Linked DNA regions of Arabidopsis thaliana. The protein of the gene in region 1 interacts with the protein of each later gene in a pairwise test. Each region holds a gene or a part of one and is shown in the gene's direction. Other genes may lie near its edges. The genes, in order: ERG28, LPAT2, AT3G28220 and AT1G16170.

Evidence for each region.
Region 2: the proteins of ERG28 (region 1) and LPAT2 interact in a protein complementation assay, tested with the Arabidopsis thaliana proteins (one large-scale study listed by BioGRID).
Region 3: the proteins of ERG28 (region 1) and AT3G28220 interact in a protein complementation assay, tested with the Arabidopsis thaliana proteins (one large-scale study listed by BioGRID).
Region 4: the proteins of ERG28 (region 1) and AT1G16170 interact in a protein complementation assay, tested with the Arabidopsis thaliana proteins (one large-scale study listed by BioGRID).

What each region holds. Positions count from the first base shown.
Region 1 is NC_003070.9:3,271,826-3,279,159, forward strand, and holds ERG28 (ergosterol biosynthesis protein), read left to right. Parts: upstream 1-1,927; 5' UTR 1,928-2,146; coding exon 2,147-2,261; intron 2,262-3,428; coding exon 3,429-3,635; intron 3,636-3,738; coding exon 3,739-3,806; 3' UTR 3,807-4,128; downstream 4,129-7,334. Other genes in the region: AT1G10040 (alpha/beta-Hydrolases superfamily protein), read right to left, coding at 4,283-4,354, 4,437-4,534, 4,612-4,741, 4,832-4,884, 5,027-5,082, 5,176-5,336, 5,507-5,761, 5,940-6,010 and 2 more; AT1G10050 (glycosyl hydrolase family 10 protein / carbohydrate-binding domain-containing protein), read left to right, coding at 7,250-7,331.
Region 2 is NC_003074.8:21,344,857-21,353,693, forward strand, and holds LPAT2 (lysophosphatidyl acyltransferase 2), read left to right. Parts: upstream 1-4,526; 5' UTR 4,527-4,894; coding exon 4,895-4,972; intron 4,973-5,339; coding exon 5,340-5,462; intron 5,463-5,571; coding exon 5,572-5,611; intron 5,612-5,725; coding exon 5,726-5,799; intron 5,800-6,094; coding exon 6,095-6,154; intron 6,155-6,374; coding exon 6,375-6,452; intron 6,453-6,612; coding exon 6,613-6,771; intron 6,772-6,977; coding exon 6,978-7,103; intron 7,104-7,346; coding exon 7,347-7,439; intron 7,440-7,571; coding exon 7,572-7,658; intron 7,659-7,731; coding exon 7,732-7,983; 3' UTR 7,984-8,337; downstream 8,338-8,837. Other genes in the region: AT3G57640 (Protein kinase superfamily protein), read right to left, coding at 65-1,135. UniProt on the Arabidopsis thaliana protein: Converts lysophosphatidic acid (LPA) into phosphatidic acid by incorporating acyl moiety at the 2 position. Has preference for C-18-CoA substrates compared to C-16-CoA substrates. Required for female but not male gametophyte development.
Region 3 is NC_003074.8:10,520,863-10,528,841, forward strand, and holds AT3G28220 (TRAF-like family protein), read left to right. Parts: upstream 1-3,318; 5' UTR 3,319-3,557; coding exon 3,558-3,898; intron 3,899-3,995; coding exon 3,996-4,168; intron 4,169-4,339; coding exon 4,340-4,622; intron 4,623-5,226; coding exon 5,227-5,384; intron 5,385-5,477; coding exon 5,478-5,635; 3' UTR 5,636-5,871; downstream 5,872-7,979. Other genes in the region: PMZ (zinc finger (AN1-like) family protein), read left to right, coding at 1-361; AT3G28216 (uncharacterized protein), read right to left, coding at 2,416-2,562; AT3G28223 (F-box family protein), read right to left, coding at 6,807-7,615, 7,693-7,979.
Region 4 is NC_003070.9:5,536,120-5,542,508, reverse strand, and holds AT1G16170 (ephrin-A3 protein), read left to right. Parts: upstream 1-2,506; 5' UTR 2,507-2,942; intron 2,943-3,335; 5' UTR 3,336-3,356; coding exon 3,357-3,635; 3' UTR 3,636-3,843; downstream 3,844-6,389. Other genes in the region: AT1G16180 (Serinc-domain containing serine and sphingolipid biosynthesis protein), read right to left, coding at 1-125, 321-561, 660-834, 914-1,025, 1,107-1,346, 1,421-1,604; WAKL5 (wall associated kinase-like 5), read right to left, coding at 4,240-5,360, 5,446-5,568, 5,645-6,389.

The sequences.
Region 1 (7,334 bases):
GACATTAATGGCAGGAACCGTTCAAGAGACGATGACTTAGGGGAATTAGGCAAAGGAAAAGGAGGTGACGACGATAAAACGCAGCGTTTTAATGGCGCCGTATTCACGACCTAACCATTGGAGGAAGCAGTCGTCTTCTTGGTCTTTCTGTGTATGTCTCTGGTTTTTAAGTGGAGACAAACAAGCAAGCACAATTTACATTTTTCCCATTTTTGCATTCCCTCCTTTCGTTTGCTGTATTTTCCTAAATTGTCCAATTCGCCTTTATTATACCACAACTTTAATATTGGTACCAAACCTTTTTAATTTTGTTCTTTAATCCCCTTTTTCATTAATATAGACGGTTAAGCTACATCCACCGATGAAAAAATCATTTGAATAATTTTTAATTACATTCTATAACTATAAGTCATGTTGTAAAGAGTTTGTTATTAGAGCATGAATATTCCATTATTCTCTCATAAAAAAAGAATTAAATGAGAAAATTTGTCCCTAATTCTTTTTTATTTCAAGTAGCCCCCTAAATTGTGGCTAAACATCCGGTAATCGTAACAATGATGTAGATTGGGTAACTCTCTGCTCGAATGTGACGCTTATTTTGGCAAATAATGTTTCTTTGGTAAACATTTGAAAGTTTTTAAACAATTTGTTTTGAGTATTTAAAATACGTACGGATAAAGGGTAAATCCGAAATTTAGAGTTAGTTGAGGGCTGGTAGAGAAAATTAAAAGACATTGGAGCACAGCTGGGAACAGGCTGGCGAAGAAGTGCCAGGTCGGAGAGAGGTTGACGTAATTTTCTTTTGTTTGGTTTCTCTCTCTACCTGATAAGTGACCAACCACACAAAAACATAGGGCTCCACTTCTTTGAAGTTTACGAAATTACCCTTGATGCTTACGTGTACATTCGAGGCTCTGATTAGTGCCTTGATCGGGGAGAATCTTTCCGCCTCTATGCGGAACTCACGTTTTCGTGTCAGTCTCATAGTTTTCTGGTTTTTCCTTAACACACATTTTATTCAGATTAAGAGATTTCTTTTTTCTTCTGTTAAATTTATTTTATTTTTAGTTCCGTTTCATAATTGGCGTAGCTAGTTTCCAATGTATTTGCTAACAGTGATGAAAGATGAACACTACGAAACATTTAAATTTTCTTCATGTGCATGAGTTTTGGAATGATAAACTTCCTAACATTATTTACACCATAGTGAAGTGTTCTTGGTTATTTTCCACAAAGTATTCTTGAATTGTCTTTGGTTATTAATAGCCATCGGTCTAACTTTTCTACATTCACCTAGAAACAAAAGTTTGATCAAATAAGGAAACAAACACTTTTTAGAGCCACAAAACTTTTCTACATTTGTGTACAGTATGAAATTAGTAAGGTGTTTTAAAGTTTCGAGGAACCGTCATTTAAAAATGACATCAAATAGTCACCTTTTCTTCTACTGCAAAGGTAAACTCACCACTCTATTCGCTCTGAGAATGCAGCTTCTGTATTATATAGAATACAAAATTTCTAAATTAAGAAATTAAATAATGCGTGCGAGTCAATAAAATAAAAATAAAGTAGAATTCTTTGGGGATTGGGCGAGAGATATGCGTGCACGTTTACGACAACTTAGATTCAATTTCTTTTTTATATAGTAGTAGTATTTGTTTAGATAAGTAGCTGAACGAGGATCGTGGATGATAGCTGTATTTTTTCTGCTTTTTTTGTTTTTTAATGACATTCATTTATAGAGGATGAAGGAAATGTCTTCTTCTTGCCTCAGCAACACAAAATTACGTAAACCATATTTTTGTTTTTACAGTAGTAACTGTAGAGAAGTCCATCAGAATATTACAGAAGCCCAATTGAAAAGCCCATTTGAAACCCACTGAATTAAATAATAATCGAATTCGGCGGAGACTCCAACTATTGTCGGCCCATCAAACAGTTTCTCCGGTGGTTTGAGAACTAACTGAAATGTACGAAATTAACCTCCGTGGCTTACGTGTTCTGATCGGGGAATCTTTCCGCCGAATCTGAGTTTACGTTTTTTTTTGGTGTCAGTCTCATAGTTTTCTGGTTTTAAAACGGAAAATATATGCGTTAGGGTATTGTTGGATAACGAGGAAGGAGTAAACGAAGGAAGAAGAGGGAGATGAAGGCGTTGGGGTATTGGTTAATGGTGGTTGGTTCACTGAGACTAGCTTCTGTTTGGTTTGGTTTCTTCAACATTTGGGCTCTTCGTCTCGCTGTCTTCTCTCAGACCACCAGTTCAGTTCTCCCTTTTTAATCTCTATTTTAAATTGTTCTTGATTTGATAGTGTGTTAGCTCCAACGATTTAAATGGGTGATGTTCACATAGAAACTATAGATAACTTCAGATTTTCTTCTATCAATTGACTTCCTTGGTCTCTGAGCTAGTATCTGTGAGTTAGTATCTATGGAGGGCACGTGAATTGGTTGTTTCAATGAGAAATGATAATGTCAGGTTCAGAGGAACCATTCTTGTGGAAATTTAACAATTTGTGTCTGTGATTTGAGTCTTCCAATAAGGATCGAATTTGGGATCCCTAAGCTTTGAGATCTAGAAAGATAGTGAGGAATTAGAATATTGTTTTGTTTTCCTGGATTTGATCTTGATTCTTGCTAGTAGTAGTAGTACATTGCATATGGAAAGTCAATGGTTTATGAATCTTGTAGTCAACTTTGAGGTTTTAAGAAGGAAAGCCGGATTAGGATTCGTTGAACATATTCATGATGCTCTTTCTACTTGCTCTTATGTGTTCTTTTAATTGTCAAGTTGAGGTAGTTGGGATTGAAAGCAACACTCATGAATTAGTACACCATAAGTATAGCAAACTGAAGCAACGTATCCAAGAAAGATATAGGCAAATCTTGTATGTTGTACAGTTCCTTGGTGAAGTAACTTTTTTAATAAGTGGACGGCCATGTCCTAGATATCAGGAAAGGGAAGAGTATTTGGATCGAGAATTGGGTGGGAATGATAAGAGTTTACATACTCCAATGCATAACCTTTTTTTGTGGGATCTTTGTAAAGTTTTTTCTTAAAGTACTGTTGAAGTAAATTAGTGATCAGGTGAAGTGAATAAGATTTTGTATATGTATTAAAACATAAGCAACTTGAAGTTTCTTTTTTCCTTTCTGTAACTTGTGGTGCATGGAACATTGTTTTTTTTCTTCCTGTGATTGCAAAAGGTCTTGTACATGTTTTGTTCATCAGTTCTGATAACACAAGGACTAATAACTTTGCATCATCTAAGCTACATGAGAACCGGGAACACAAAAGATTTATCTAGACAAAACTAGTTCACATAGTTGATGTCTCTATTACTTAGGTTATCTCAGGCAATGGGGCCTTCTCGGTTCACAAGAGTCCTGTACTCATTACTTGAATCTTTTTATTACCTGTTTTGCAGTGAGTGAAGTTCATGGACGTACATTCGGAGTATGGACACTCTTGACCTGCACTCTCTGCTTTCTTTGTGCATTCAACCTCGAAAACAAACCATTATACTTGGCTACGTTTCTATCATTTATCTATGCGTTAGGCCATTTTCTGACTGAATACCTCTTTTACCAAACAATGACCATCGCGAATCTCTCAACTGTGGGCTTCTTTGCAGGTATAATTTGAGGCATTGACCATCACTCACTCTTGTATTGAATCAGTTGATGTAGGTTGCATTCATATTGTGAATGATCTATATAATGTGTTCTCTATAACAGGTACATCGATTGTGTGGATGCTCTTGGAGTGGAATTCCCTTGAACAACCACACTCCAAACTTTCTTGATGTTAGTCCACATCTATGTTTCTAAGTCTCTCGTCTTATAAGCTTTTCTAAAAGTGGGAATCATCTGAGTTTTTGCTCGATCCCTAAAGCTGTTGATTCATTGTTTCATCTAAATCTTACGACATCTTTGATGGAGTCTTGAACTATGAGAATATCATAAATTCATGGATTATATGGTTTCTTTTTAAGTGTTGTTTATTGCTTTTAAAACAGAGATTTGAGTTTAGTGTATGGTTGATAGTCAACGAACAGGGAAACTATTTCTTGCGTTCCCTTTTTTATTTGTTTGTATCCAAAATGATTCTATTTTCCATTTTCCCGGTAACTGAGAACAGCTAACAAAACAGATAAACCTACTAATAGTGTATAGTAACATTACTAGATGACAGAATTGTGATAATATGACTAATGTATTTCCCCTAGTGAATTTAACTTGTGAAGGAGCTTGCCATCTTCCGTTATCTCACAAGTCACACCTATGGCTCAAAATTGTCAATCATGTGTTGTATAACATCTGCTCCAGCTGAATTGATCATCTTTGTTTTCACCTGTAATGTTTTCCAAATGTGAGTATGAAGTTTAATAACAGTAGCAATGGTGATGATGATGGCGACAATGATGAACACTTGCCTGAATGGTATTGTGAGCGAGAAATCTTTGCAGCGTTCCTCTGAAACTAACATCAACTCGTTCCCAGCTCAGTTTTGTTAATTCTCTTATCATCTCCTCTGCATAAGTTTGTTGTATTATGATGACTAGAAATCAAGAATAAGAAACACGAGAATGAGTTTTCCACTGAACCAACCTTCCATATCTAAGTTCTTGAACCTGTCTGCTTTGGTCCTTGAATGATCTTCCTCATAGTTACTTGCAGTATCCGGTGCTTCAACATTCACAATGTGAGGATACTTCTCATTGACTGGACCACGTTGAAGCTGCGAAGGTTATATCATTATATGTGAGACTTGATTCAGCATAACATACACAGCATTATCTTATTAAACACTGAAAGTGAAAGGTTTAACCTTAGGAAGCTCATTGTGACGCCGGATAGACGATGTACTCCACCCAACAAGGTCTAAGAACAAAGGAGGTCAAGGTTTCAAATGAATTGTAATAGCCACAACAGTTCTGAGTCTTTTTTTTAAGCTCAATTCACATTGTCCGATCAGTGAAGAAGTAGAGAATTAGTTTAAAGACGTCCAACAAAGAAAGGATACGGTCGAAACTTGTATTCGCGTAAGCAATACGCCGTTTGAAGCATTGCAAAGCAGAACTGTTCACAAAAGCAGAGGAGACATTAGAAATCATTTGAACTACGCAAAAGCCTCAATCAGCTATATATAGAAAAATCATTGAAGGAACTCACATGAATTTAAGATCTCTAGAATCTTTAACCATCCGGAGGAGTAATGGAGGCTTTCCACCATCACTATCAGCCAGAAAAAGATGTTTTCCCGTTTTACCAAGACAACCCGACATACGCGTAGCTAATCTCTCCAAAGTGTAAGATCCAGAAAACAATGGGACCTAATGCAGTCAAAATGCCACACCATTAACCAAATTGTAACTTTTCATGTTGCAAAATTCCACAAACTGTATCAACTATCAAGCTTACAGGAGAATGAGGCATAAAAGGATCTCAACTTTGCTGTAAACATATTGACAGCTTCAATGTAAGAAAACCGTTTTCAAATCACCTGTTTATGTCCTCTTGAACCAAGGTGTGGTGTTGCAGAAGTTATAAAATACACAGGCTCTAATCCAGCGATTCTTGCTTTCGGTTCCTCTATCGAGCATTTATCACCAATGTCGTCACTATTATGTGGAAGCTCTTCTCGGGATTCTTGCTCATAAAGACGCCCAATAGCATACCTAGCAATCAGGCCACCTAAAGAATGTCCTACAAAGGAAATCTTCTGAAGACTTGGGTGACGTTTGATCACCGACCTAACCTAAACAAAAGAGATTAAGAATATCACTTGAGCTGGAAAACTCAAGCAGAGACAAAGATAGAAACTTCTACATAAAAGGTTCTAGCATTGCGAAAACATCTAGCCAAGCGGAAGACAATATAACATTAGATAGAAACAACGCTGAAATATAAGCAGCCTAAAGATAAGAAACACAAACCTCTTCAGCTAATCTTTCTCCCATAACATCAACACCATCAAATGTCTGTGTGGAATGGTTGCGTTTACTGCCTGCAAAATGATTATAAAGTATCACAAGCCATTATTTAAAAACTATTATAAAAATCCAGTAAAGTGAGATCAAAATATCTAAAGTGTGATTCTTTCTTCCTTCCAATAATCAATCTGTTTCACTTGAGACTTCCAATCACAAATTTACTATAGACCATTAGGAGGAAACTCTGTTTTAATTGAAAAAATATAGAGAAAGAAGAACTCACAGTGAACGAGGAGATCCTGAGGATACTTCTTAAGCATCTGCTTAGCGGCGAATCTCCAATTCTGAGCACTGTACCCACACACAAAATTTAAAATCAGCTTAAAATAGAACAAAATCAAGCACATAACATAGGAAACACTAAGAACCTGCCGATGAGACCGTTGACCATGACGACTAGGTGAGTCGGCTCAGTGCGTTCGCCAGGGAAATCAACAGTCAAATCGACGTTTCCACTTTCGTCTGATTCAGCTCTGAGACAACCCATCCAATACTTTTTCTTCTTCTTCTTCGTCTCTTTATCATCACTCTTCCTGCTTCTCATCTTCTTCATCTTCTTTGGCTTACGGATTCCTTCAAGATCACTTCCAACACGCCCATCTCCTTCTGTATTCTTAGGAATCACGCTATCTTCTTCCTCCATGATCACGAAACGAAGAATGAAAAATGGAAACTTTATGCAGGTGTTAATTCAAGGTCGCCACTTTGGGAAGATTCGAAGGTCTCGCGTAGGTTTTTATAGACTTCAAACATCAAAAGTTCAAATGGTCAGAGAGAAACAGAGAATAGTTTCAGTCGTTAGGGAAAGTCCCCACAGAAGTATTTGTTGTCGTCGTTGAAACGCCATTGACATTTTCTTTCTTACACATCTGAGATTTGGACACTGTTGCTTTTTCTAGAACACAACACATGTTATATAAAGTCATTAACTTGATTAAATGAGCCAAAAATGTGATTTGGCATAAGTTAAAAAGCATATTCAGACATGATGATGATAATTAAGATTATTTTTATATAATAACTTTAAAAGACAGGCCCGGCCCATTTAATGTCAAAGATTGGATCCAAGTTTTGCCCAGAGAAAAGGAAGCTTCATGAATCATGAGTTTGTTTCTTCTTCTGGAAGAGTCAAACAACAATTTTGACTTTTTTATCAGCAACCACAACGTCGAAAGCACGACATGAATCATTAAAAAAAAAAAAAAAAACCGACGAGATTTTTGTACCTTTCTTCTCCGAAGTGTTGCTGATTGATGTCTGTTGGATTTCTCTTTCTTCAACTAATCACCTTTCTGTGTCCTCTCGCTTCTCTCTTCTCTTCTTTCCCATTCAAAGGTG
Region 2 (8,837 bases), on another chromosome or scaffold:
TTAAACCTTGAAAATCTGTTTTTAAACCATTTATATAATCTATAACAAGTATGTGATATGTAATCTATAAACTTGTTTCACCACAAGAAGAAGAAGAATCTCTAAGGAATCTTTTTAGTTCTTTGGCAACTTCAACCATTTTTGGAACTTCCCCTCTAAGACCAATGCATCTTTCCGAGAGGACAATGAAAGCTTCCATTCGACAACGCTCTTCTTCTGTAACATCACCTATTTTCTCTAACATGTTTGAATCGACAATCTCATCAATGCATTTTGCAAACTTTCTTCTGTTTTCAAAAGTTGTCAAGTCACTCCGATCATAACAAAGCTCATGAAATCTCTCTTCTCCCATCAGAAGCTTTTGCATAAAAATACCAAATCCAAACGCATCAGTTTTCTCCGAGACAATACCATTAATCAAATAATTATCATCCATGTAATCATAATCTCCACCTATACAACCATTACCAAGCTTCACAAATGTTTCTCCTTGTGGAATAGAGACACAGTAGGAGAAGTTACACAACTTAGCAACACCATCTTCATCATCCAATAAGATATCTTCTAAACGCAGAATCCTATATACGAAAGGTCTTGGAAACGCAGTGTGAAGATAAGCTAAAGCAGTTGCAATCTCCTCTGCTATTTTCAATCTTTGTCTCCATGACACAACCATTTTCAGATCTAAACTAGTAGGTTTCTTTGATGCACGATAAACCAAAACTGGATGTTCAGATTCAAGACAACATCCAACCAATTGCATGAAGTTTTTATGACCACTAACAATCGATGAGATGGCTATGTCACGGCAAAAGTTTCCTCCGTTATGCTCACTAAATCTATATCTCCATTTCTTGATGAGTAACAGTTTATGATGATGATGATGGTTATTGTTTTTACCTGAATAATACCAATCGTATGGAATCTCATCGAATAGTTCAGAAACACGATTGGATTCGCTGAAAGTGTCGGTGGCTTCTAGGATTTGATCAGCGGAGAATATTTTGATGGGATTTGCTTTGCCATTGCAAGATTTGATGATCTCTTCTAGCAATGTCCCACCTCTCTCGTGTCCTCGGACCAATCTCTCCCTTTTAATTATGGCTCGTAAACTCTTCTTCTTCCACCACTCCATCTCAAACAACAACGAAAAAAAAGTTTCTTTTACTTTTGAGGATAAAATGACCAAAGATTGAATGACGAGTTGAAGACCACACACCGTGTTGAAAAGTTGTAACGTGAAGTCAACGAAACACCATTAAGGAGTAAGACTTCGTTGGAAAAGGTTTATCTTTTAGAGCAGAAGAAGACAAAAGTTGTTGAAAATTCTTCACCTCTTTGTCTGTTCAGCTCCCTTACTCTCTCTTATACTCTCCTCTGTTTCAAGACAAGCACAGAGAAACGTTACTCCCTCTTATGTTTTAAGTATAAAGACATAAACGTTTTGGAAGAGAAGAGAGAAACTGATTTACTATATTGATAGTTCGGATCCTTATATTGATGAAGCCATGTTTAACGCAATTCTATATGAGTCAGAGCATCAGTGCATCAATTCACAGAGCAGAAAAAGTTCCTCCGTTTTTGCTTTGAAGATTCTTTCTCAAGTTTCCATCTTTCTTCTTCTGGGTTTACATAGTTCTGTGAATCACAGACTGTGATCAGTGGCAACGAACACAGAGAACAAAGATGCATTAAAAGACAAATTTATTCATTGTTTTGTATTGATAGTTCATATGTAATTGATTAAAGAAGAAATATGCGTAAGAGAAGACTAAAGAGTACATTTGGCTAAACCCTTTTTTAAAAGTCCCACATCGACAAGCTAGGGATCGTTGGTCATAAGCTTTGTAGTATAAATAAGAAGCTGAGCCATTCGTTCTAATCATACCTTTCTCGGCCTTTTGGCTAAGATCAAGTGTAGTATCTGTTCTTATCAGTTTAATATCTGATATGTGGGCCATCGGCTCACACGATATTAACTCTATCTTTTAAGGGAGAAAGCCCGCTATGATAGCTTGCTATCTGGGCTTCCACGAGTCGCCCATGCGTTGCACTACTGCACGGGCCTGGCTCAACCCGCCAAACTAGAAGTGAAACTTTTAAAATTTTAGTCACTTTTGATGTTTAGTTTTTAAAATGATGTAGGATTCTTTATCATTCAAAGTCCAAAACATCCAAAATATACGACAAGTAAAAATCTGTGAAGTAAATATATGAACTTTTGCTTGTCTCTGGCAAAAATCTGAATGGTAATGTTTCAGACTGAAGCCAAAATGGCATTGGCATTGTCTCTGCGTCATGTGTGTCTCATCTGCGATCTACAGTTTGATGGATAATTTGCAGAATTCTCAATCAGCATGATGCTATGTTTATGAATCATGTAAGCAGAAACGACTCCTGTTTACGTTATATCAATGTTTCCATGGGTTTTGTTAGTTAAAGATTGCCGCTGGAAGCGTGTGCGTATACTATCACTGAGAAGAAAGATGAAGACAAGCCAAAGATGATCGTAGTAGCTTAAGGAACTCAAGTGGATTCAGACATCACTTTAGAGATCGAAATAGGGTTTGAGAATTGGAAAACAGTGTGAAAATAAGCTAAAGCAGTTGCAATCTCCTCAGTTATATTCATTGCAACGTTCGATGAGATCTTCTAACAGCATCTCCCCCCTCTAGCTCTTGATATCTTATTCCTCAACTAATCGAGAAACACTTAACTTTGAAAAATAAAATGACAAAACTTGAAGACCTCACACACTCTCAGTTGATCAAAACGAAGAACACTAGCTAAGATATAAAGTCAAGCTGTCGTTGTTGAATATCCCACAAAGTCGTCCTTCCAAGAAAAAGCTCACAACAAGACTTGCGGACTAATTTCATAGTTCTTTCTACATCACCTGAAAACTAGTTAGGAAGCTAAGGCTTTCTCTGTTTTTTTTTTGTTTGTCATTGTTCCACTGGTTCTTTGCTACAATTTAGGAGACTAGAACAAAACTAAATTTTTTGTTTGGTTATACAATGCAAAAAAATATCTGCAAAATAAGTGATTTAGTCTCTAACCGAGAAAAAAGTAATTAAAAACAGAGCAATTACTAACTATAATTTCTGGTGTCATTTTGAGACTATAGTTAAAACTTACAAGCAATGTTTTACATAAATCATTTTTAAAATTATAAGTAAAAATGTTGGCGCCTCAGTATTTCAGGTTCGATTCCCATTGTTCTTTTTCAAATTGGATAATTTAGTCCACATTGACAAAAAGAAAGAAAAATCATAATATGTTTAAGGATGCGTCAAGTGTATGCATATATATTGTTGTAAAAAGAAAAAAGGTGTATGCATACGTTTCTAACATATTTTGTCTGGCAGTCAACTATTTGTTATGAATATGTACAATCACATAGAAATGATAGCATGTGGCTATGTTACGTGAATTAAGGCAAATGATCTTACGTAGGGAAAATTGTAACTAAAAACTCAACAACCCTTATTTGTTTTTTTTGTTATCTTTTCCACTTTGCTGCAAAATTTATTGGAGAATCTGAATAAAGCGGTGAGCATAGTACAGCTGAAAATAACTAGATGATGAACTTGTTCTTTAGTTTGTTTTGATTCTTCATTATATTTAAAGAAAATTTGGTTAGATAGATCAACCACTTCAACAATACTTTTGTAACTTCAAATATTTAATAACAAAAAAATTAAAAAATGTTTGAACTTTACTGAAATGAAATTTCGATATTAGAATACTAAAGAATCAAACGTGCACTTAAATATCATTTAGTTTATATTTATACAAACCATGAAAGACTCTCATACTTTACACCGCACATAAACAATCAGAACCATACCAAACCATGTGAATAGAATCACAAAGACGTCATGCTTTAATTTACAAGCAAAAAAACAAAAGGCATCGGCTAGAGAATAGCAAAAAGAGGAAGAATTGAACGGAAAAATTGAAAACATATGGAACAAAGTGGAGCACTTAAACATCCACGGTAATATTAGTATATTAGTCACCTTCAGACTAGGGCCAGACATGAACAAAGGATTCGATGTTAGTGACAAGTAGCATATCAGACTAATAAGGATATATATTAAGCGGTATGGGTAACACATTAATCCTTTCTCCAATTACATTCTCTTTAAGGTTCTAAGATCCGCCACTAGGCCATTTTATTGGTAAAAGTAAAACCATTTTGGTGGTCGTCTATGAGTGTTAAGAATTATGTAACAATTTTTTTGGATTCACCTGAAATAAATCTGTTGATTTGAAATATTTGGACGTTACATTTCCATATATAAGCTTACCATACAAACATTATAATTAATTGGAAAGTCCAGCTAGCACTTTTTACCACATGCAAAGGGAATTAATCCTAACTTAAAAAATTAGGAGTAATCACATCTTGGTAGTGTATACCGATCAATTTCCGACAGACGTTTTTTTTTTCCTTGCCCATTGATTGCATAGTTCAAAACTTCAAAGTTGGCCAATCCAACCAAGTCGAAGAGATAGGAGATGTTTTGAAGTATGAAAACAAATAGAGGGGCTAAAATCAAAATAACAAGAAAAAACGCTTCTGCCGTGTTCGAATGTGTCCTCGTGATCATCTCCGTATATAATCAATCAATCAATAAAAATCCAGAGTTACAAACACTCTTCTCAAAATTTTCCCATTAAATCGCAAAGTTAATTTTGCGATTTTTTTTCTCTTTTTTTCTGGTTGGGTTATTTATTTTCCCCTTTTAAAAAACTTCTGCAACTTGTCTTGAAATCTGGGGTAAAATATTTCTTCATTGGTTTCTGGAAATCTCGGGGAACGATTTGTTGGGTTTTCTTCTTTGTACTCTCTCCTCACATTAGCTTTTGTTGGTGGGATTTTTTGAGGATGGTGATTGCTGCAGCTGTCATCGTGCCTTTGGGCCTTCTCTTCTTCATATCTGGTCTCGCTGTCAATCTCTTTCAGGTTTGGTTTCTGATTCGTTTCTGGTGTTACTCTTTTTAGATTCCGTTGTTGTTCTACATTGTAGATCCTTTCTTCTTTTGTTTTGATTCACTGCTTTTAGGGTTTCCTTCTCCAGAAACTTTGATTCTTTCGTTTTTGTCGGTGATTGTGTCTTAATTCTGAGTGTGCATATGAGAGTATAAGCTCGAAATTGACTCGTGGAGCTCATGCACTGAGCTATAGAGTGTTGTTTGATTCTGCGATTAAGTATCACTTTCTTCAGATTTATCTTGATTTCTATGTTGATTGAATCGAGGAAGGAATCTTTTTTTCTCTCAACTTCGTTTGCTTCAGTTTTGATGTTTACTACTACATATTGTTGTTTCAGGCAGTTTGCTATGTACTCATTCGACCACTGTCTAAGAACACATACAGAAAAATTAACCGGGTGGTTGCAGAAACCTTGTGGTTGGAGCTTGTATGGATAGTTGACTGGTGGGCTGGAGTTAAGGTATCCACAAGCTTTCTCCTTTTTACTAAATGGTTGTTAAGCTTGGATTTTGTTTTATCTTATCTAACTCTATGAGTTCCTCTCAAATTTCTTGTTTCTTTTCCCTTAGATCCAAGTGTTTGCTGATAATGAGACCTTCAATCGAATGGGTAAGTTCATATGCTTATTGGCAATCAAATCAGTTTCTGATGTCTTCAAGATATAAAATTCCTATGTAAGAACGAATCTGTAACTTCATTGACTGTCCTACTATTTTTTTCTAGGCAAAGAACATGCTCTTGTCGTTTGTAATCACCGAAGTGATATTGATTGGCTTGTGGGATGGATTCTGGCTCAGGTACATAATTTCACCTCACAGTTTCATCTATCTTCCTACGTTTTTGTTTGAATGCATAAATGGAGATCAACATAATAGACTTCTTGATGAGAAAGCATGTATACTTGCAATGGGACCATGTATTGCTTCCAAGTATCTACTTAAGAAAGATTATCTTAGGTAGAAGGTGACAGTCCCTAGTGATCATCTGATGAGATATGAGAGAGTATAGCATCATCATATTTTCTCTTAACACGCTCCCTGTTATGCTGTTTACATCTTTTAATCTATTGTTTCATATTTTCTTTCCTTGCAGCGGTCAGGTTGCCTGGGAAGCGCATTAGCTGTAATGAAGAAGTCTTCCAAATTCCTTCCAGTATGTGAATATTTTAGCTTACTGCTGTGTGCTTGCTAGATTTGAGAGAAAATAGTAGTAATCTTTAATTCTATTTCTGAATCTCTTCTATAAGTTAGAAATTTGATACCTGGCTTTGCGTTTGAGAAAAAATCATTGTTTTAGGTTAATACACTTCTCCGCCTTTTTTATCTGTTACATATTCATAGTACTCATAAACAGAATTTTCACACACATACAGGTCATAGGCTGGTCAATGTGGTTCTCGGAGTATCTCTTTCTGGAAAGAAATTGGGCCAAGGATGAAAGCACTCTAAAGGTATGGGTTTATAGTATCCTTGTGCAACTCATTTAGTTTTTGCTCCTGTGTAAAATGCTTATTAGCACGTGCAGCTACCTCGTTCATGAGGGGATTAGCCTAAAAATGCAGAATCTTCATTTCCAGACCATGAGTTATGTGTGTTTGTCTAAATTTACAGTCAGGTCTTCAGCGCTTGAGCGACTTCCCTCGACCTTTCTGGTTAGCCCTTTTTGTGGAGGGAACTCGCTTTACAGAAGCCAAACTTAAAGCCGCACAAGAGTATGCAGCCTCCTCTGAATTGCCTATCCCTCGAAATGTGTTGATTCCTCGCACCAAAGTAAGTTGTAATATTTTTCTTTTGTTCATTCCTGGGGCAACTTGATATCTTCTCTGTGTCCTTTAAAAAGCAAAATGATTGCTATGATGATCCAAAATCTCAATGCATGGGTAGCCTTTATACGTTTCATTTTCATCAGATCGACTTGGTGGTTGTTATTGTGATTTCTGCCCTAATTACTAGACTTGCTTGTATTTTTGTTTCAGGGTTTCGTGTCAGCTGTTAGTAATATGCGTTCATTTGTCCCAGCAATTTATGATATGACAGTGACTATTCCAAAAACCTCTCCACCACCCACGATGCTAAGACTATTCAAAGGACAACCTTCAGTGGTAAGCAAGCAAAAATATGAATAGGTCGTATAGCAGTTGAATCTTGCACTCTTCTCACAACAAATTTCAAAGTATGCACTGGCTTGGATCACATCACCATCCAATTTACTGAAACGAACATAACTCTTTATATCACCTTTACTTTTATAATGTGTAAGAAACCGTAGGACTCATCCCATCCCAAGCCTTTTTCTTTTAAAACCTCCTGCGCCATTAACGCAAACCATTGCTGCTGGTTTCAAGGTGCATGTTCACATCAAGTGTCACTCGATGAAAGACTTACCTGAATCAGATGACGCAATTGCACAGTGGTGCAGAGATCAGTTTGTGGCTAAGGTAAAAATTATGGATGTACTGGTATTTCCACGTTTCAGTTATTGGCAATAATATATTTGGTCAAGATTTGATAGAGAAAAGCTTGGAAAAGCTTTCATTTTGGTATTCTCTCATCTCGTCTCTGTGATACAGGATGCTCTGTTAGACAAACACATAGCTGCAGACACTTTCCCCGGTCAACAAGAACAGAACATTGGCCGTCCCATAAAGTCCCTTGCGGTGAGTCTATAAAATTCATAACATTCTCTTGGTTCCATCTATAAACTCACAAATCTCTTGATCTTTTTCTCAGGTGGTTCTATCATGGGCATGCGTACTAACTCTTGGAGCAATAAAGTTCCTACACTGGGCACAACTCTTTTCTTCATGGAAAGGTATCACGATATCGGCGCTTGGTCTAGGTATCATCACTCTCTGTATGCAGATCCTGATACGCTCGTCTCAGTCAGAGCGTTCGACCCCAGCCAAAGTCGTCCCAGCCAAGCCAAAAGACAATCACCACCCAGAATCATCCTCCCAAACAGAAACGGAGAAGGAGAAGTAAAAACTGGTTCTCACAGATCCAAACATCAAACACAACAAGAAGAAGCGCGTGTCAGTTTTGTTATAAGAAACAGAAAACCAAAAAAAAAAGACATCCAAATGAAAAATCCCTTAATATTATCAACTCCGTTTTGTTCAGCTACTATATTACTACTACTACTACTACGCAGCCTATGTCTCTTAGTCGATTGATGTATAGGGTCATGATCAAATCAACGATTTAATCCCTATAGTCCCTTGGGATTTTTTTTCTCAAGTGCATAGGCCTTGTATAACTTTCTATTTTTAGATTGGAATTTGGGATTGATATTAGACATTTTCCTTTTATTATTAAACTGTTTTGTTCCTTGGTTCTCATTGCTAGTGTAGAATTTATTAGGCACAAAACATGTTATTACAAGACGTTTTAGAAGAAAAAACAGAATTTATTCATGTACATAAATTATCTGACTAGACTAATCCTACTGGGACTTAATTGTGATTAGACAAAAAAAAATTCATTTTGAGAAGAAAAAACAGAAACCCGTTCATGGAATTAACTGAGATTAGACAAATTCAACTACAGTATGACGGTGATTACAGGGAGAATATCGTAAAAGAACAGGTTTTATTTTCTTCCATTTTTGATAGAACACATTTTTTTTTTTTTAATGAGTGTATAATATAATAAACACAATTTTTATTTTAGTTTTCTCAACCCTAAAACTAAAACCCTTTCACGCCGATTCAAAAGAAAAAAAAAACCTTCACAAGTCCGGTTGCTCGCGCCGCTTTTCTCTCTGTTTTCAAACTCCGATTAAAGTCCCGACTTGTATCAATTGATAAACCCTAATTGTCTCCGTTCTTGCTGAAACA
Region 3 (7,979 bases), on another chromosome or scaffold:
AATAGCGATTGAAACAACTGGTTTTGATGAAAAAGGAATCAAATCTTTGCTTGAGAAACACGAAAGATCCGGAGATTGTGATCCAAACAAGAAAAAGAAACCAACGTGTCCTGTAAAACGTTGCAAAGAGATTCTGACTTTTGCGAATAACCTTACTTGCAAATATTGTGGAGTCAAGTTCTGTTTGAAACACCGGTTTCCGACAGATCATGTCTGTAACAAGAAGATCATTAATACCGCGGGAACAAGCTCGAGGTGGAACGAGAGGTTTATGGAAGCTTTGAGTTTAAGAAACCAGAAAGGGTGTGGAAGAGGGAGCTCTGTTTCATCAAAATCTTCACCATCAGTTAGATCGTTTTAGTTTCTTCTCTTGTAACAATAGTTTGCATCAACCAATTCCTTCTTTATGTTCTCATGTATTTTCCATTGTTTGCAAGAAAGAAGATTAATATTTTCATGAGTAATATTTCGTAAGAGAAGGAAGAAGAATGTTTTTATTAATATTAACTTCATTGGGAAGTTTCTTCTAAATTTTTAGATTCGGTTTTGGGTCCAATTTTTTGGGTCGGTTCCAATACTCAGTAAGAAGACTACTTAGAAAATGTAAATGTGGTGCAGTGTCTGTAATCTAGATTGCATATACATTGAAGAACCCAAAGATTGAATTGTTGTTCGTATGGCTTAAATGAGGTAATGCTGAAATCGATTTGTGAACAAAAGAGAATATGTGATTAATATCATTAACATAATACTCAATTTTGCTGTACGCTAATCGACATTTGTTTCAAATGGACCGATATAGCTATGGTTGAAGAGATGGAAGAGGTTGAGAGTGTTGTTTACAAGACACAAGTAGATGTGTGATCCTTAGAGAAAGGTTTATATGATGTGGGAGCTGAGATGGAGAGTCTAGCAGGTGAGACACGCACATGTGTGACCATATCAAGTAGCTATGGAAATGAGATTGAAGTCATCAAAGCATTTTTAAAAGGATGTGAGAAGGAGATTGGAGAGCTCAAAGCCATGAACTTTTGTAGTAAGAAAGAGATTCAATCTCGACGTTACTTCAAAAATTTTATCGGGTGTAGTTTAGTTATGGTTTGTAGTCTATGTTTTCATCTTTTAAGTATGAAAAGTTAGTATGAGTTTGTTGAGTTAAGAGTTCTGATTGTATTTTATTGGATTGAGTTTGAGTTTCAATTGAAAGTTGTTGTTTGGGTTTTACATAACACAAACATTGGGCCTTAATGGGCCAACGAAATTGGCAAGGTGAAGAAGAACAAAATGTGGGCAAAAGTTTGTTGCTCATTTAAGTCACCTATATATGCATTACAACGTACGACGTATAGTGGAGGTAGGTGAGAAAAGAATCTAAAAAGAGTTCTAGAGAAGAGAGATAAAAGAGCTTCCTAAACAAGCTTTCTTCTTCCTCTTTGTTGTTCTTGAATCTTTGTTCTTCTTGAGTGCAAATCTGTAAAACCAAAAGACATCATCACAAGTTAGTGAAGCTTGGGAGCAAGAGATCTCCCCCGAGACCCCGAGACGTAGCGGTTGAGGCCGTGAACTCGGTTACCAATTTCTGTGTCTGTTTATTTTCTTACCAAGCAATCTCTATCACTCTTTTCTCCACAAAAGTAATGAATAAATAACATAATAATGTTGTATATAACATACCAAACCCGAGGCAATTACAAGACAAAAACCATTATCCTACAAATTAAAAATTCAAGACAAATAGCCAAAAACCATAATCTATATCTTGAAGCCGAGATCATAGTCAAAACCATCATCCCATCATGTTACACATAAATCCGATAATCCAAATTAAAACCATCATCCTGAACATCATAAGTTTCCCAAACCAAAAGCTTTTACACAATTAATCACTAAGTGAAATTTGTGATACTTGATTCGGACCTTGATAAGAATGAAAGTGTAATCCTTTGTATTTCTTATCTATCAATCCAATTACAAAGAATCAAAACCCTAATCGATAAGCTTGAAGTTACAGTTCTCCAATCTTATCTCCTAAGAACAGAGCACATGCATAAGCCCTAATTCTACTCACAACATCAATATGATCACGAAGGATGCTTTTCTCTCTACTCTCTCTTAGACTCTTACTATTTATAAGTTTCTTCACACGTGACTCCGATCTCTCACTTCAGTTCTCACACGTGCCAACTTCTCATGAACGTATCAGACCTTCACCAAGTTGTTTTGTGGCCGACTTTTAGCTTGGATTCCAACATTAAAAATGTCATTCTCATCATCACCTCCTCTAACATCATTTCCATCATCACAAACTCGAGCATTCTCACCATTGACGTTTTCACAAGCTCTTTTCATCATTACATTCTTCAAGAATCTATTCCTTCTCCGTAAATATAACAACCGCTTTTGTCCACTTTGCAGCTAGACACATTCTCTCGAAAATATCATCTCTAGTATACAACGGTTCAGCTCTATAAACTTCTCAAAAGGAAGCTTATACCGTATCCTTTGCCCAAACAAAGACAATCCCACCGACTCCATCATGTTATTAAAAAAATTTTCTTGCATGCACACAAGTGTGTGAATCTGGCCTCCATCATATGTAAAAACATTACCGTCTGTACAAACAAAAAAAACTATTTTTGGCGAAAAAATTATCGTCGAAATATTGTTGGTAGGAAAAACACAATTTTATTTTGTTAACTTTAAACATTAAAAAAATAAGGATATATGGTTATTAAAAATTAAAAGAGAGTAATGAAAATGAATTACATGAAAGGGTAGAATTAAAAATGAGTAGCATTGGAAGGTCATTCCTAATAATTTATTTATTATAAATTCTAGATATTTATAAAATAAAAACTCAAATATTATTATATATTATACTATAAATTAATAAAAAATATTTTCTACAAATAAAAACATTTTTTAAAAATTAATTATTAAGCATTTAATCGATAGTTTTGATACGTATATAATAAAATATAGTTTTTAGTCTTTGTATTGATTACTGAAGTTCTACATTATAGCTAAAGCTAAAGCTAAATCCAAAAACAGAGGCTAGGATCGGAACAGAAGAACAAAACTATGTTGTGGTGTAGAGCGTTTGGGTCCATTTCTTGTTGTTAGCTAAAGCTATGTCTGGAGTGTTTGACGTTACATGCTAAATTTAGGTACAACTTAAACTTTTGTCTTTTTCTTGAAAACACGTGTTGAACAAATCTTTTCTGGTCGATAACTCAAGAAATCTTATCTGGTCGCAATCCATCTTATACCGACGTGAAATCTCAAGACACGTGAATATATAACTTGTTCATAATAACATTATCACTTTTATCGAACGCACAAAAGATCCTCCGCTATAAATATTTGTGGTGAAGAACTCTTTATACCAAACAAAAAAAGCTAAATACCAAATAAATGTTGGTACTCATCATACATATATAACTAACTCACCTTTTTGGTGTGTAGATAAATATATCTAACTAACTCCATTACATATTCCAGTCATTTGCTTATAAATTATAACCGTCACACTTACCAATTCAGTCACTTAACCAAACATGTCTGAAAAGGGGTTGATAAAAAAAGAAGACCACATGTTTCAAGAGGAGAAGAGAAAGACAAACTATGGAGCAATTGGCTTGGCTTGCTTCATTTCTTGTTTCTTTGCATTCCAATTCATGAAAATCGTAACAACACAACCTTCAACAACAACAACATCATCCATTGCCGTTATCGATAGCCCAATGTCCTCCCATAAGCTATCTGATAGGAGAGAAATATGGAGAGTTATCCCACCATCTACCTATTGTCTCAAAATCGAATCTTTCATAAAATTCGCCACTTCTCCAAACGCCGAGAAGTACGAATCCCGTCCTTTTGAATCCGGTGGATACAACTGGTAAGTAGTATTTTATCCTACATTTTGCATATGTCTTTGCATCACAAATTTTCAACGACACATTTGATTGTAAGACTATATATCCTTTTGCAAACAGGACACTTATTGTCTATCCTAAAGGAAACATTAAGGAAGGAGCTCCACTTAATTACGTTTCAATGTACGTCCAAATAGACAATTCAACACTCCTTAACTCTCCAAAAGAAGTTTACGCAGAAGTCAAATTCTTCATTTATAACCGGAAAGAGGACAAGTACTTAACATATCAAGGTATATACATCCGAACGCCCTATTTATATCTTATTTATAAACTATATTGTATTAATCAAATTTTCAACGTTTAAATTTAAAACAATTGAGACGCTGATAGTTTGCATAGTTTCAAATGCCAAAATTTGCATTTAAAAACACACAATCTCAAACGCATGTCTTGGTACACAGAGACGGATGCAAAACGCTTTTTTCTGTTCAAACCATATTGGGGATATGGTAATGTTAGACCCTACACCGACGTGGCTAATCCCAATGCTGGTTGGCTTTTCGACGGTGACAATGTTTTATTCGGTGTGGACGTATTTGTCACTGAAGTTTTTAACAAATGGGAAGTGTTCTCATTCACTAAGAGTTTGCATGACCGCCTTTACAAATGGACGTTACCCAATTTCTCGTCACTAGAGAAACAGTACTATGTCTCTGACAAGTTCGTGATCGGTGGGAGAAGCTGGTGAGTTCCTCATGTCATAAATTCTTTAAGCCACATATTGATACTTAGTCCTGGATGTTCGGTTATCCATTCCGTTATCGGTTTTTTCGGTTCTAAAGTTATTATCTATTTGGTTATTTTGAAATTTCGGTTTGGTTCTTTCGGTTTTAAATTTAGTATCCATTCCGTTATTTTGATTTGAATATTTTCGGATATTTTAATTATTTTTGGATATTTCGGTTATTTTTGGATATTTTTGATTATTTTTGAATATTTTAACTATTTTATATATATTTTTAATTATTTAGTTTAAAAATAACTAATATTTTTAATTATTTAGTTTAAAAATAACTAATATTTTTGGAAATATATTTATATTTCAGATATTTTGGTTATCCGGGATATTTTGGTACGTAGCCATTTAGTTTCGGTTCTTTCGGTTCTTTCGGTTATATATAGAATTTAGTATCCATTTGATTATTTTTTAATTTTTGATTCCGTTCGATTCTGTTATTTTGTTTCGATTTTAGTTCGGTACATTCGATTAGGTTTATTTGCGCAGGCTTACTAATACTGATTCAAGAAAAAATTAACTATTTACAATATTTTAATATACAACTCTTAGGGCTTTGAAAGTGTATCCAAGTGGCGATGGCGAAGGACAGGGTAACTCGTTGTCGTTATATGTTGTTGCGGTTGATGTTAAGCCGTATGACAAGATTTACCTAAAAGCTAAGCTACGGATTATAAACCAGAGAGATTCTAAACACATGGAGAAGAAAGGTAAATTATATCGAACCATAATAGTGTGGCTAATGTTACTTACTCTATTAATTTTTTTCTTTTAGAGTTTAATTAACACTAACTTAATGACAGTTGAAAGCTGGTCGGATCAAGCAAACAGTTGGGGATTCCAGAAGTTTGTACCATTTGCTGATCTTAAGGATACTTCTAAAGGTCTTCTTGTGAATGATACATTGAAGATGGAGATTGAATTTGAAGATTTCTCTAACACAAAATACTTTCCAAGTTAAGTTTTGCATAATGCAAAACCAGAGAGCTTGGAACCAATTGTGTTCTGTTTTTTAAGTGTTTTTGTGCTAATAATTGGAGGATTGGTCTTCCTAAGGTTTAGGAGCCTATCTCCCACTTTTCCCAATTCCCTAGTTTGTAGAAATCGTTGATTCCAAGCTAGCTTTTCTTGTACTTGTTTCCTATTTAAATAAATGAAAACTAAGAATAAAAGCAGTCTTAATTTACCATTGAAAAACTCTTGTTCTTACTTCATTCTAGCTGCGACTAAGACTAACACTAACCGTGGAATAACACTTCTAAAATCAACCGAATAAGTTTGCGCGTATGATAGTAATTTGAAATAATAACAAGCTTTGCGCACCAACAATAAACATCGATCATGTTCTTAAGTTTCACGAGTGCTTCTTTGTTATTTGCTCTCTTTCATCTGTTTGTTACTCTATTATTTCTCTGGTTATGTAGTGTATATAATACATATAGATCTACCAAGCAATTCATAATGTATAATATATCTGCCATGTATACTCTATGTAAATTAAGCTATGTAACCAATCCATACTCTTCTTTCATTGTATTTTTAACAATCATCAATAAGCAAATCAAAATTACCAATATCTAATACAACTCGTTCCTTTTAGGAAATAAATAAGAAGCAAAGAAAATACTCTCTACTAGTTGATGAAGGCTTGGAAGGGAGATGACAAAACGTACGTAGCAAATCAAAGAGGAAAATCCAACCCTATCCACACAGTTTTTGGCTCTTTGCTTGCATCACAAGTCACAAAGACACATTGATTCTAAAACCATTCATTTGGAAACAGAACACTTATTGATTATCCTAAAGGAAACTAAAGAAGGGAGCTCCAACTCTGGATGGTTTTAACTTTACGTCCAAATAGACAATTCAAGATTCCTTAACTATCCTAAAGAAGTTTAGGTTAATAAAAAAGTTTTGCTCTTCCTACAATCTCTAGTGTTATCAAAATCTCATAAAAAAATTGTAGACAAAATAAAAATAAAAAATATAAGCCGCTGATGTTAAGCCCTACGACAAGATTTACATAAAAGTTAAGCTACAAATCCTCAGCCAAAACGATTCTAAACATGTATAGAGAAGAAAGGTAAATAATATCAGAAACATAACAGTTTGAGTAATTACTGCTTACTTTGTTAAGTTGCCCTTTTCCGTAATCTTATTCGCATTCGAAGCTTGTCGGTTGGAGGCGAGGAAGGGATCCGATGCAGCCAATGCGGGAGAGCAAACCTGGAGAAACATGGGTTAAAGAGGTGTTCAAACGGGCTCCAGTCTCCAGCAAAGCTCATAATGCGACCATCGCTACTATATTCCAACTTCTTGTGACGCCGAAACTTGCCTTTGAGCAAGCTAGTAGATACTAAACATTTATGCATCTCACTCCACAAATACATTTTATTAGCATCAAAAGGGTTTATTGCCAACGGAAAGTAATCTAAACCACTCTTGATACAAGCCGGAGATATTTCAGATACTATTTCCCATTTCCCACTCTTTAACCTCCATACACATAACTTAAGCCCTAAACTTCCATCATCTTTTTCTTCATTGATAATTTTCATATACATAAGAGATCCTTGGGATGTTGTGAAAGCTCTTCTAAAATACACATCGTTTTCTAGATGAGGGAACTCTATAACTCTGCATTGATCAGATTCCGTACCAGTAGCATATAAATTGTGGGATACAACAAGGTGATCACGATAGTTGTTGTAGCAAAGCCAGTAAAGGTTTCCATTCAAGCTAACAGGATTGAACCAAGCAACACGCTTCAAAAGATAAGGAGATTGGACAGTGTTGAAACTCCATAGGCCTGTCTCAGATGAATATATGAGTAAGCTAATGTCGTCGGTATCGGTGGTATCTTTCATCAGAACAACTTTGTAACCTAAAACGACGCCGTTTTCTATTCGTGTTGCAAGTCCAGAAGGTTTGTATATATCAGCTCTTCGAGGCAGACGAGGAAGAGGAGGTCACATTGTCGTGAAATTGGATTAGCAACATAGTAGGTCTGTTTCAAACTAACCAAAATCAATCCTACATCAGTGTAAGCCTCGACAGTAACCTTTTCCTTGTGGATTCCGAATTTGTGTGTTAGGAAAGAAGAGATGTAAGAGCCTAAAGATTGTGTAAGTCCCCAAGTGTCGCATCTGTAGTGAGCAATGACTTCTTTATGAGTTTCTCTGCACATGAGTGACCATGAAGGATGCGAGTCTTGATGATGAGACATAAAAAGTTCGTGTAGATATTGAGATTCGACTATTGATTTCCATTCCTTGCAAACCAAGGTGAAAGCTGTGATGCTCTTT
Region 4 (6,389 bases), 2.3 Mb from region 1:
TGCAGAGTACATGCTCGCAAGGGAGAAGATGATGTGGAAGAATGCGTATGAGTATGAAACTGGTTTTTTATTCTCTTTCTCTTCCTTCTCTTCTGCTTTCCCGTCTATCGGAAGCAGAGGCTTCTCTGAAAATTTTCATTGAAAGGAAATACGTTATGATACTTAGAAGCAACTCTCAAACACTCACACAACAAGGTTTCAATATAGGGATTTAGAATATATGTTTCAGTTCAGGTTTGATTCGAGTTTCCGAATGAATCCTTATCTTGCAATATAAGGAGGCAAAGTATAGGAGAAGGTTTTTTTTGTCAGAAACATACCTGCGCGAGGAGAATCAGGAGGGGAGAGAAGAGTAGTGGAAGAACCAGCACGAACAGCAGAATAAACAACCGAGAGAACAGTTGTGAGTAAGCCAATGGTCATTGTGCCTGTTGAAACAGCTTTAGAGTGATTGTGGAGACCATTGCACTCGTAATCCCGGGGTTCACTTGCAAGTCCACTGTAACAGAGGTACATGCAGTACAGAGATATAACCGATGCTGGTAAAATGCTTCCACCGACCTGCAAAAGAATAGGTTAATTTGACTTCAGTGAGCCTGAAATTGGGAATCAAATAAGATCTCAGATAAGAGAAATATAAGGTTTCAGTCAAAACTTACAGTAGGATGCAAAACTACAATGGCAAAGACGAATACAAATATCAAAGTCATGATAATGAAGAAGGTGTTGAGTCCACAATCATGTCCAGATGGAGTAAACCAGTGGAAGAGAAACCCAGAGAAGACGAATGTTGCCAAGTAACATACAAGAGAAACAACGAGCAAAGCAGCATACCTATATATAAAAGTCAAGTACTTAGATTAGTAGTGGGATAATGAAGTCACATGATTTAATTGCAAATATATTTACTAACCAGAACTGCTCGTCGTAGCCAACCCATGTGTCATTCCATCCATGAACAAAATCCAAAAGAAGTACAACTTGAACAAGCAGGAAAAATCCAGCACCAAACTTTGACATCGACTCTGCAAGATGTAAAATTGATTCCCATTAGTTCCAAGTTAATCGATTCACTAATCACTTTGCAATGATAAACAGAAACTTACCATAGAAACTGATGATTTCATTTGGAAGGAAGAACATAAAGATGACTAAAATGCACCAACAGATTATTTTCATCATCCAACCACCATGGTGTATACCATCACGAGGGTCTTTCTGATTTTTCACACCGATCATCATAACCGATAGAATAGAGAAAAACAAGAAATTCCCTAAGCTGACACGCAACACAGCATCAGTCTCAAACCATTCACGATCAGGTGTCTTGTGAAAATGGTTAATCCCTGCACACAATGTCAATGATTAGTTGCATACACCAAAATAATCTCACGAGAAGTATAATAACAAAAAAACTTACAAGGGAGCTTCTCCATGAGAGGAGCAGCAACTTCACGGAGAATCCATGAAACGATTAAGGAAAGTGCAAAGAGACCACAGTAAGCAATTCTAGCAGAACGTCTGCTGATCCCAGAAACCACAGTACGGCAAGCATCGCAGGCACAAGCAGCACAACACGATGCGAGACAAGAAGCTGCAAACATCTTCTTTCTCCTCTCAGATTAAAGGTTGGATTCAATATTCAGCTGCTAGTATCAACCAAAACGCAAACACAAATCATCAAAACACAAATCATCAAACAAACAAAAAAAACTAATTTCGGATGGAGACGGTAAGAAAAGCAGCTTTTTAAAGACCGAATCGAAAATTAATCAATTTTGCTCAGAGATAAACAGAATTATTTGGAATCAATTGAAATTGGTTAAAATAAGCTGAAATTTATCCCCAAATTCGAGATGAAATCATAGCTCCCGATCTAAAGCTTCACCCGAGAAACCTAGCTTTAGGGATTGAATTTGACCTCTGGAACAAAAGAAGGAAAACGAAAATCGCTTGAGAAAGAGAGAATCAAAATACCTTGCGATCGATCAAAAACCTTGAGCTATCCTCTCCTTGAAAAGTAAAACAACTCGTTGTTTCTTTATTATCTCGCTCCTGATTTCGGACTTTTGACCAACTTACAAAGGAACTAGTAAACCATCAATACCAAGTTTTCATGTTTGGCCCACTAATGGCCCAAATTATTTTAATTTCTCCTTCTGTTTATCATGCATGGGCTTTTGATTAAGATAGACCTCTACTAAAACCTTGCAAGTCTCCTTACAAAGAAAAAGAAAAAAGTTATAAAAAAAAAACTCTAGGCTATTGGGGGTAAATAGTTTTGGTTTGGATGCTAAATGCTAACCGGCTAAAGTGATTCACGGCAACGGCAACTCAGTCTATTAGGATTTCAGTGCAACTAAAACAATGTATTTTAGACTTTTAGTTTAGTTGGAAGCAAACCAAAATATTGAACACCTCATACTGTCATACAAATACAATATACAAAAGTACTAAACATTATCGTGATTACTAGAACATGAGTTGTCTTCTCGTTAATGATTAAAAAAGTTTATCTTAATACGTATTCGTAAATGCCCTCTGGAAGCTGCAAGAGTCAGATCATAGTCCTAGGTAAATGTCATCACTCATCATCGGATTCTAACAACATGCCCATCATCTTCAAAACACAAAGGAGTGGAAGCTAACAAACAACGCATCATCATTTTTTTGTCCTCTTTATATATCTTCTTTCCTATTTTTTATCTTTTTATTGTTTTGTATATAAAATCCCTAAATTCCCGTTTTATGTAACGGACATAATAAGCCGCGTACGGCGTATCCGGCAAATCGGCCCAGCTCGAGCCATCATCAATCTACGGAGGAGATCCATCTCTCTCTCTCTCTCCATATCGCAACAACACTGCTGAAGATTTCGGGGGTTGTCGACGGAGCTGGAATCTAGCTTTTTCTTCTCCAGATCTCTAAACCGATTCTCACCGGTTCGTTTTCTAATAATCTTTCACCTACTTCGGATCTGTTTCCCTCGATTATCCAATGTGCATCGATCGCGAGTTGTTGTTGTTGTGTATTGTGATTGATGATTGATTGAGAATGACGTTATTGTTGGCAATTTGTTGCTTTCATTTTCATCTTTCGTATACGATCCAAGCTCTTTTGTAATTATAATTATGACTAATGTCGTTTCCACAACCAATCAAAACAGCGATATGTGTCTCGAATTCTTGTTTCTCATTGACATTTATGATGGTTTATGATGGAAAAGTGATCTCCCAAATGTTACATTCAATCTGATTGTGATGATCTCCTTTTCATAGCATGTTTATGTTTCTTGTAAAATTGTGTTAAAACGACTTGTGTGTCAATTTTTGCAGGTTAATTGGTATTATAAAGCCATGGTTCTTGATGGGCTTGTATCTTCACCGTCAAGGAGACAACAATGTCTAAAGAAGCAGTGGGACGAGTTGGGTAGCTGGTCGACTCTTATTCAGAGGCATCAATATCTCTTAACAGCTTTGGCTCTTTTGGCTTTCCTCTGTACTGTTTATCTTTACTTTGCAGTCACTTTAGGCGCTAGGCACTCGTCCTGCTATGGCTTGACCGGGAAAGACAAGGCAATGTGTCAATTACAACTTGTTCAAGCTCTCTCCAAAGGGAAACTTAAATTCTTCTAGACTGTTTATCTATCGGTGAAAGTTTGAAACCCCCACATTTATTGTTCTTGTACTAAAACATTCTTTTTCTTCTTTATTCTATAATGCAATTTGTGTGTATTATTACATGGTGAAATAAAACCAGAGATTCATAATTGAAAGATAACTTTATTTCATCAGATGAGATGAGAGTATACATGTGCACTGTTTTGAGTCGGATCGTCACCTCCGGTTGTATGTCAAGCCTCTATTAGGCGCTCTTATTAGAGCTCATGCGTTTCTGTATATTTGGGAATTCTTACCAGCGGAATGATGATAGCAGCGGGATATAACTTCTACTACCTACACAGGTCGAGACTCTGAAACTGAAACCATAATGCTTGAAGTCAAACATTTTCTGACACATCGTTGACTCCTAGACAAGTAAGTTTTTCCAGTCATCAAATAATACATTCAAGTCACACCAAAAGTCCACACTTCATTTTCAAAAGTACATGTTAACTTCGAATTTCAAATACACTTTGTGGCTAAAGATGGATGACTTGCTGCCGAGTGATCTTATTGATTTTCTTGTCACCATATACATTACATAAAGGCTGAAATATTCTTGTACACGCTTCCAGAATCATTCTCTGCTGATCTCCATGACTTGGTCCTCTTCATCATCATTTTCAATATGGGCCTCTAAATCTTCAGGTGATGAACGGATCCTCTCCAGCTCGAGTGAAGCCTCTCTCATGTTTGGTCTTTTAATCCCTTTCCGGCTAAGACACTTTCGAGCGAGTTTCGCCACTGCCATCAGTTGGTCAAGCTTGCTTTCTTCTTTGATCCGAATATCAATGATGTCAATCACTCTGTTTTCTTTCATGGCCTCGAGGAAATGAGTTGCCAACCCCCTTCCTTCCTCAGAACGAATTCGGGACAACGGTTTTTCTCCAGTTATGAGCTCTACCAGGACAACCCCGAAACTATAAACATCGCTCTTGTCAGTATATTGGCTTGATAGGAAGTACTCTGGATCCATGTACCCAAAAGTTCCTGCAACCATTGTTGTCAGGTGAGTTTGATCAATGGTTACCGATCTTGATGTTCCGAAATCAGAAACCTTAGCTCCGTATTTTTCATCCAATAGGATATTGGTAGTCTTGATATCTCTGTGGTATATTGGAAATGATGCAGCTGAGTGCATGTATGTTAGAGCTCCCGCGATCTCTATGGCTATGCGAAGACGCACTTCCCAAGTCATCGCATAATCGTCGGATTCATCATGAAGGCGCTTGAACATATCTCCATTGGGAATATATTCGTAAACCAAGATCGGAACCTCTGTTTCCAAGCAACATCCTATTAGTTTCACAATATTCCTATGGTTAATCTGTGAAAGAAGGATGATCTCATTGATGAACTTTTCGAGCTTATCTTCATCGACAACTTTTGATCTTTTAACCGCAATGATCTTGCCATCCACCATCATCCCCTTATACACAGTTCCTTGACTGCCTTTCCCAAGCACCCTCTTCACGCTAAAGTTATCGGTGGCTTTCTTCAACTCTTCTGAGCTAAATAGCCTTGACATGTCTACATTACCGTCATTTGTAGTAGTTAGTTGTTGTTTTAACAACAAGCCTCCATTACGTTTGAAGAACTTCCTGCTACTGATGATCCTCCTTCTCTTTTTTATAAATATAATCAACCCAAGCGTCCCAACAACTAAGAACAATAGTCCCATTAAACCTAAAAGAACCCCTGCAATAACAAGAAAAAACATAAATAACACTGTTTTCTGCTCTACCTTAAAGGATGGTAGATGCAAGGTGCCATTGGAACTCACCTTGTAGCACGAGGGGTTTGGCCGGCTTGATTATCTTGGGCTTGGGATCGCATCTATAGCCTCCAGGCACGTTCACACAAGTGCCTTCTTCACAGATATTAGGTCCTTTGCAATCATCATTGTCTGCATATATATCAATTATCAGTATTAATGATCTGATTTATTCTCAACGAAAAAAGAAGAGGAAACAAACACTTACCAATGCAACCTCCTCTAAGGTATGGATTCCCTGTGAAGCCAAGGGAGCAATAGCAGTTCCTATAACTCATTTCGGAAAAGTAACCATACTCGCAAAGGCAACTATCACCGGATAAGTAAGATCCCGAATATGTCAGATTTATACAACCCAAGGGGTTCCTAAAGCGTGAATCCGTAGTAGCAAAGTACCAACCTAGCTCTACCACCACGTAGCCACCAGCATGGAACTGTTCTGGTATAGTAACATTTGACGGGGAATACCTCTTGCTAGACAAGAAGGCAACCTTGCATCCATCTCCTCCTGAGCTCTCTATATTGACACCTACTGCTTGTGGACGTTCCACCGGTATCCTCGCCTGGCAACATTTGTAACCGTCACATAACAAGTTTGTTACTTCTTGACTACTCTTGCTATCTTTGCAGCTAGATTCACAACCCAAGATCTCTGATTCTATATCCGTCATCAACGCCTTAGTACCGCAACCCACAGCCACGAGGCGGTTCTCGTCGGTGATGAAATATGGGCTGCCCTTGCCCGTGACGTTTAAATCCGGTAGCGACTTTTGGGGTACTTGACTAGTATTACTTGAACAACCTAACGAAGTCACAGGACCTTTGATGTGAACCACTCCGTATTGTTCATTATTACCTTCTGGAAGAGAGATGTTCACCACTTCCCTGTTGATTCTCGACAGGAATGGAACAGTTGTGCCGGACGACCCGGAAGTGGTGGCGTTGCAGACAAC